Linked DNA regions of Struthio camelus. The protein of the gene in region 2 interacts with the protein of the main gene of each other region in a biochemical or structural test. Links are inferred from orthologs where the notes say so. Each region holds a gene or a part of one and is shown on either strand. Other genes may lie near its edges.

Region 1 (3,750 bases), on a different chromosome or scaffold from region 2:
GAGGTACAGTGGACTGATTCCACTCCAGTCAGCTCATAGCCTTTTTCACACTGAACTGTGCAGGATGAGCTGTAGCTGAAGTTCTTCAGTGGATGGCTGCACTTCAGGCTGCCGTGATCAGGTTTCTTTAGTGTGTCACAAGTCTCAACTTCAAAGAAGCAGGAAATACAGTCAGAGTCAGTAGCTGAGCAGGTAAATTGACTAGTTAACACTAGTTTTTGACTAGTTGAACACTAGTTAATATGACCATCTCTCTGGCTGGAAGGAAGGATAGAGTAATCTTACCAAACTCGCATTCAGGCCCATAGAATCCAGGGTTACAGCGGCAGGTGTGATTGTTAATAGTCTCTATGCATTCTCCATGGCCACTGCAGAGAGATAGGTTGCAGGAAGCTGGGAAGGAAAAAAAAAAAAATCAGCAAGTTATAAATGAGTCCACAATGGTCACTAATGAAATTTGGTTAGCGATTCACTTATCTTTCTGGTGCTGAACAAGCACTTTGTATAGCAAAAAAAAAAAAAAAAAGCAGGACTCTTGGTACTTAACATTACCTCATCATTGCATGAAAGCATTTCAGAAATCAACTCATTTGACAGCCTAGCTAACAGTGAAAAGATTTAACTGGCTGGAAACTCCATGACCATTTGTGCTCAGGTAGATATTAGCAATATTTAAAATGCAAAAGGAACAATTGACTATAGTGTAGGTAGAAATCCTCAACAGGGACATTCTTTACCACCTCAACACAACTCTGATTTGCCAGATATTTGACTGCAGTTTTTTGATCTGCTGTAGCCACCTCCACATAAAGTGTCTAATCCATTCCAGTGGTCTACAGTCAACAGAGGGACAGATGCCTCCCAAAGGGCAATTCTTACCTCGCTGAGAAACCCACTGCAGACTAGCCAAGACACCTGCTGTGTCTCAATTATTTCAGGATAGGATGAAAAAAAACCGAAAGAGCCTGTTTCTCTCCACCAATTACACAAAGGTCTGGTGAGTTGCTTAGAAAAGATGTAAAATATTCTGAAGGCTATGAGATAGGTGAGATCAATCCAGCTCTTAAAACAACTAGCTTCAGCCCTGTGAGTATTCCACCCAGGGACTGTGTTTAAGGGTAAGTGTACAAGTGTCTGCAGGGTCAGGGAGTTACTATTTAAGACTAGGTTAATTAACCCCCCACTATCTCATCTCCACAGGGACTCGTTGGGATGGACATCATACCTGTATAGCACAAGGCGACCTTCTTTTTCTCACACTGTGCATCATTCCATTTGCCATCATCCTTCCCTCTTTTGATGTAGATTTCAACACAGTCTTCGTTGTTCCCCTGGCCATTTGGCTCACCTGAAGCCCAGTTTTCTGCCTCTTCTGTCAGTTCTTTGTTAGTTCCAACCCAGGTCCATGTCTCGTTAATTTTTCTGATTCCAATCCAGTAGTAACCCGGATTGAAGGGTAAGAAGTTATTGAGATAACTGATCTCCTCCTTATTCTGAATGGCAACCATGTTAGTATACTTGTCTTTGCACCACAGCTCTGCTTCATCATAGGTCATGTTTGTGTCTGAATAATGGTATGTCCAACAATTCACCTCCTCCAATATCGTAAATCCTGGAATGAGATGTCAAGCAGTTGGCACCTCCTTTTTTTCTTCTTTATAAGAGAATATATAAAGCCCTACAAATACTGCGTGCTTATCAATATCTGAACCTGCATAGGCAGTAGTTGCAATTATTTTATATACAATTAATTGGTGAGCTTCAGAACAGGCATGTCAGCATCAAGTATAGGACTTCAACCTGTAAAACTATACCTGATTAAAGTTCTATAGGCTCTGTAGTAAACCATATTAGCCACTAACATCTGACAGGTGAGCAGGTAAACATGCTATTGCAGTTAGTTTTTTCTATATGAATTTAGCCTCATGCTAAGTAGGCTGTGTTCAAAAATTCTGTTTAATTTGGAGCTCAGACAAAATAGCTACATTAACAATATCACCCAGCTAGTTTTCTAGAGAAATATACACTTACCGTAAGCAAGAAGAGATAGGAACCACAAACAAACCATGTTTCTGAGAAATTTCTCTTCTATCTTTTGTGCAGATAGCTATGAAAGACCAGAAAAAGGAACACATTTGCACACAACATAGACAGTATTTTATATTGAACTTCAAAAAAGCAGTATATGTTATCTGTTCTACAAACTTTTTTAACAAATCACTGAAGAACTAAATAAGATTTTCATTTGGAGGAAAAGAAACATTTAACACTGTTCTTAATGTCGAGACAGCTTTTAAGGTACATCAGGACAGAATTCTGTCCATTTTTCCCTTAGCTAAGCAACAAGATGGAATAAAACGCTCCCTTTATACTCACAGATTGTTGTTGGGATGGCCAGGTGCTATAGAAGTCTTCTAATATTTCTCAGTGTCTGCTTTCCTTTGCTAAGTTGCTGAATATGGTCTTGAAGATGAAGTTCAGCTTGAACTGTCTGGACTGTGTGTTCCTTTTGCCTTTACAGCAGCCTTTTATTCTCTCAGCGCAGCCTGCCCTCCATGAGGCAGGAAATTCCATGTGGAAAAAAAAATTTCTTGGAATATCCCTGGTTTTGACCCTCACACATTAAGCCTGACACTTCCCCTTCCCATATCAACCCTCCCACAGGGACAAACTGATCAAGTGCTGAATTCTACAGCTTTAGTGACAGAAGCACACAATTCCAGGATATCAGTGAAAAGCTTAGTTTAAGAGTTTGCTGTGCAAGTGAGTCGATTGTAACTTTTCTTAGTACAGATGGATGTGTTTTCTCTCGATTATAGGAAGCTCTTTGTGATTTGCAGCCACAATTTTTCTTTGTGGTAGTGAAGTTATACAAATTATTGCAGAGTAAAAAAGAAACACTCTCTACTGGCTTCCGTAGATGTTCAGATACCATATTGATGGCAAAAAACAAAAGAAACAGACATGACAGCTTCTTAAAAATACCATTTATCACTACCAGAACTGTAGAGGATTTTAAAGTGAATGTCTGAACTATGTAAAGCAAACTAGGGGGTTAATGTATATAATTCCCCTTACTTGATAAGAGAATTGAATATGTATATACCCTAAGAGGCCACAGAAATTTTGAATGCTCATTAAAGCTCTGAAATAAAAACAATATACATACTTCATCCAATTTTTTGTCCTTTTTGTACATTGTTCATAAGGCCAGATGGGAGGAGAATGCTATTTTGTTGAAAAACCACTAACCAAAAGTTTTCAAAGGAGTAAACCTACCACAGCAGATCTTTTCCTCAAAACTGTGACAAGGCATGGCACACTTTCTTTGAATTCAGCATAACAAGTATCCCGAGAAAGGAAATATATAAACTTTCTTCCCTAAGTGAGTTTTTAATGTTAAGATATGCCCGTCAATACCACTGACAGCTTGACAGCTAAAGCTATCAGCGCTCCACCTGAGTTGATAACGATAAAATATTTCAGCAGACCAAGTAACAACATGAAGCGGTTTTAAGGACTAATTTTTGCCTTAGTAGAAAAAGACAAAAATCTGTGAAGTACCCATAGCTTGATAAATCTCTGCCCATCCAAGGAATCCAAAGAAAAGAGGACCTAGCAAGAAGTATATTCTGAAGTAGCCCCAGTTACTATCAAGATAGGAGCGTTTTCTGTAAACTTCAAGGTAAGGCATCGGAAAGTATGCCAAAGTCAGTTACTAAATATAATGAGAACTAAACTGAAGAAACA
Region 2 (3,750 bases):
ATCGCTGCCCTCACGGCACGGGAGGTGAGGGAGTTGTGGCAGGGCCGCCGGCCCCAAATCCGCCCTGGCCTCCCCGAGCGACTTGGGCGGCGCTGAGCTCCCTGCCCTCCGGGCCCGGCCACGACAGAAGCGGAGGCGAGGAGCTGCCGCCGGGCCGAGCGCGCCGCGCCGGGTGCGCAGGCCTTCACGCCGCCCCGCTCGCCCTCGCGAGGTTGGCTGGGCCGAACCGATCCCGGCGCGCCGGCACCCGCCGCGGCAGGCACCCTCGCCTCGGCGCCGGCGCGACACGCCTGGCCGGCGGCTCCCAGGGCCGCGTGCGGCCCGCCGGGCGCCTCGGGGCCGCCGCCGCGCCGGCTCGCGAGGGCGGTCGCGGGGGGTTTTGGCGCGCGACGCGCCCGCGTGAAGGCGCCCCGGGCTCGGGTGCGGCGGGGGGCCGCGAGGAGGCGAGGGTGGCGCTGGTGCCGGCCCGGCCGGGCGCAGCAGGGGCGGCGGGTGCTGGCTCCGGCCAGGCCGGGGCAGCGGGGGGGAGGGGGGCGAGCGGAGTCACCCCGGCTCGTGCCGAGACACGGCTTTGGCACGAGCAGCAGGGAGGGGCCGGTGAAAAAGGGGGGTTGTGCCCTAAAACTGCAGCCGACGAGGCCGGGCACGAAGAGCGCCGCAGAGCAGCGCGCCAGGCTGCGCCCCGCAGCGGGGCCTGCGCGGCCGTTGCCGGCCGGGCGCCCGAGACCGCCCGGGCGGTTGGGCGGCGGAGCGGGGGGCGGGGCGCGGGAAGCCCCCGCCCCCTTGGGGGTGGAGCTAAATTTACATACGCCGTGCGTGCGGCGGGGCGGGCGGCCGCGCCGGGGGTGGCGGATCCAAGATGGCGCCGTGCGGACGTGTCCGGAGCCGCTGGCCGGGCCCGGCGCTCCTCCTGCTCGTGGCGCTGGCGGCGCGGCCGGCGGCCGGCGGCCCTCAGCCCGCGGGGCCCGCGGCGGCGCTGGCCTTTGTCCCGCCGCAGGGACAGGCGGCGGCGGGCGGCGGCCCCGCGGCGGCGGGCGGGCGGGGGTCCCGCGGCGGCGGCGGCTCGGGCGGCGGGTGGAAGCTGTCGGAGGAGGCGGTGTGCCGCGAGGACGTGGTGCGGCTCTGCTCCAAGCACAGCTGGGCCAACAACCTGGCCGTGCTCGAGTGCCTGCAGGACGTGCGCGAGGTGAGCGGCCGCGCCGGGCCTAGCCGCGGCCGCCCCGGCCGGGCACGGCGCCGCGAACAAAGAGCCGCCGGGCCGGGGAGGGCAGCGCCGCCGGGGCGGCGAGCTCGGGGCCGGCGCTGGGCCAGCGGCGCTTCTCGGAGCCGAGCCGGCGCGGGCCCGAGGCTGCCGCTGTGGAAGGAGGCGCCGGGCCGGGCCGGGCCGCCGTTGCTTGTGGCCCCCAAAGGGGCTGTTGGCCGCCGCGGTTCCGAGGGGGCCAGGCCCGGGCCGCCGCCGCTGCCCTGTGGTCGTGCTCGCACGCGCCTGCTCGTCTGTGTGTGTGTGTGTGGGGGGCTTCTCGCACCTCTCTGTACCCTTGGGCTGGGGTCCTGGCGGCTCCCTCCTTCGCAAACCTGTCCCTCCCACAAGGAAGGAAAGAGTTGTAGTGCAATGGCTTCACCCCCCCCCCCCCACCCCACACTTTGATACCTCACAGGTTTATTCAGCTTTCAGAGATCTTGGGAGAGTTTGGCAAGAGGATCTTTTACAAAGATCACGCGCTGCCCACTTAATGCCGAGGAGAGGTATCTTATTGATAGCAGTGGCGACTTGAGAATACTTTTTCAGCGTTAGTTTCCCACCTTCGCGTAGAGGAGAGTCCAGCTGCAGAGGTGACTGCCTTCTGCTGCCGTTGTGTGTTTGTGGATGTATGAAATTAGATATCCGAGCTTTAGGCCTGGATTAGTTTTTGCAGGGAGATTGACTGGGGCATCTCTTTTGTTACTAAATATCTGTCATGAATGATTTAGATGTAGTTCAAGAAAGAATTAGTTGTCTTCTCTGAGTCTTTTCTAGCCCCATCTTCTGACTGATAGTTCTTCCCCAGATCGAAGAAGCTTTTGGAGGAGCTGCCTTTGAGCTAAGGAGAAAGGAAGATTCAGTGCTGCGTCTGTTTGGTTCTTGGCTTCTCTGCTGTGAAGTCCAGGAATGTCAGGCTGCGTCAGTTCTAATGGTGTTTTATCAAGTGGAAACGTATTCGGGAAAAACCTGTGCTCATTTCTCATCAGTTATTGCAGAGACAGCAGATGGCAGTGACTTAATGGTTGCGCTCATCAAGGGGAGTCTTGAACTAATATGTCAGTGATTAATTCCTGACTTAAAGAACTTAGATTTTTATCTAACTTCACATTTTCATTGTGGACAGATATTTTAATAAGAGTCATGGCAGACTCATTAAATGAGACCTGATGCAACACTTATCGCAGTTCTGAAATGTTCTGGTATTTGCTTATTAGTAACTTGTCCCTTATTGTTTCTTCTGCTTGCTGCTGCCTGGAAAAGACCCTCTGGATTCCCTGTCAGGGAGGCACTGCCTCTGAGATAATCTCAGAAACTGTACTTTCAGGAGGTGCAGTGAGCTAGCAGCCTGCCACCAAAAGGACAAGGTCTTGTTGTTTGTGTGTGTTTTTTTTTTTCTTCCCCTTCCCAGTTGTGTGGCCACTCCTCTCTCTATTCATAGTTCAAGTACTTCTTGGTTATCAGCCATTTTAGTGAAGTAGACCTTTTTCTGGTCTAGCTTATCAGCTCTCTGCTGGGATAGTTTTGTTGTTTTAGTGAGTTGTATGCACTCCCGGAGGAGCATGAGTGCAGGAGCTAGTGCAAAAGAGTGTGCAGAAGGAAGCAGAAGATGAAGGGAGGTCTTGCATCACATTTTTCAGCGGATGCAAGCCCGTATGTTGGCTCTGCATAGTCTGGTGAAACTCCACTTTCTCTTTTAAATCTCATGTTGGCTTATGGTTTTCGTTTTTCAAGTTTCTTTCTCTTTCAAAGTTTGCCTGTATCTCAATGGTTTGCTTGTTGTTGATCTGATAGCCAGTGTGGAAGGTGAATCCTTCACTGGGGTGGTATCCCAGACAGCGGCAGGACATCCGGGGATTGTTTTGGATTGAGATTTCTCTCCTAAGGTGCCTGTTTGCAGCCACAAAAGACTCTTGTCCTTATTTGTCTTTCAGCCTGTAAAAAAAAATGTTGTCAGCTGGGCTTAGACTCAACAGTTAGCCTGCTGTAAAACTGTTCTGATGGGCTCTATCCTGGCATAAAAATAACTTCTGCAGAGTGCTACTCCGAGAAATGAATTGAAATAACTAACTTTTTTATATTGATATTGTTTAACTATGGGTACTTAAATTCTGAGTAAAAGTAATGAGTTGTCAACATTGGGTGGCACATAGTGTAAAGTGGAATGCATCTGTTATCTTCTCAGGCGTTTCCTTTGTGTTGGACGCAACACCTGAGGAAACGGTGATCTCTTTTTAGCTGTTATTATTGAAACAATTTTTAATTTTTACCCTAGGCCGTCTGACAGTATGTTTGGACAGTCCCAGAAAAATGATAGCTATGTTTGAAAACTGATGCCTGGCAAAAGGTGTGGGGGGGAACTAGTCTTTGCAAGTTCTATGAGCCCATATTAAAAAAAGTCAGAGTATAGTAAATAGCAACTTTCCAGAGTGTTTTCTGTGTGTGTGAGAGAGAGAGAGAGCGCCTCAGTGGTTTTGGACAGTCAGAGTTTTTGGACAGTACTTCACTAC

What was found.
Region 1: the proteins of GLG1 (region 2) and SELE form a complex in vitro, tested with the Homo sapiens proteins (2 studies listed by BioGRID and IntAct). The link is inferred for Struthio camelus from reciprocal best matches to the Homo sapiens genes GLG1 and SELE.

Annotation. Positions count from the first base shown.
Region 1 is NC_090949.1:8,132,825-8,136,574, forward strand, and holds the start of SELE (E-selectin), read right to left. Parts: upstream 2,505-3,750; 5' UTR 2,377-2,504; intron 2,108-2,376; 5' UTR 2,069-2,107; coding exon 2,032-2,068; intron 1,613-2,031; coding exon 1,226-1,612; intron 394-1,225; coding exon 286-393; intron 149-285; coding exon 1-148. UniProt on the Homo sapiens protein: Cell-surface glycoprotein having a role in immunoadhesion. Mediates in the adhesion of blood neutrophils in cytokine-activated endothelium through interaction with SELPLG/PSGL1. May have a role in capillary morphogenesis.
Region 2 is NC_090951.1:22,466,824-22,470,573, forward strand, and holds the start of GLG1 (Golgi apparatus protein 1), read left to right. Parts: upstream 1-843; 5' UTR 844-859; coding exon 860-1,186; intron 1,187-3,750. UniProt on the Homo sapiens protein: Binds fibroblast growth factor and E-selectin (cell-adhesion lectin on endothelial cells mediating the binding of neutrophils).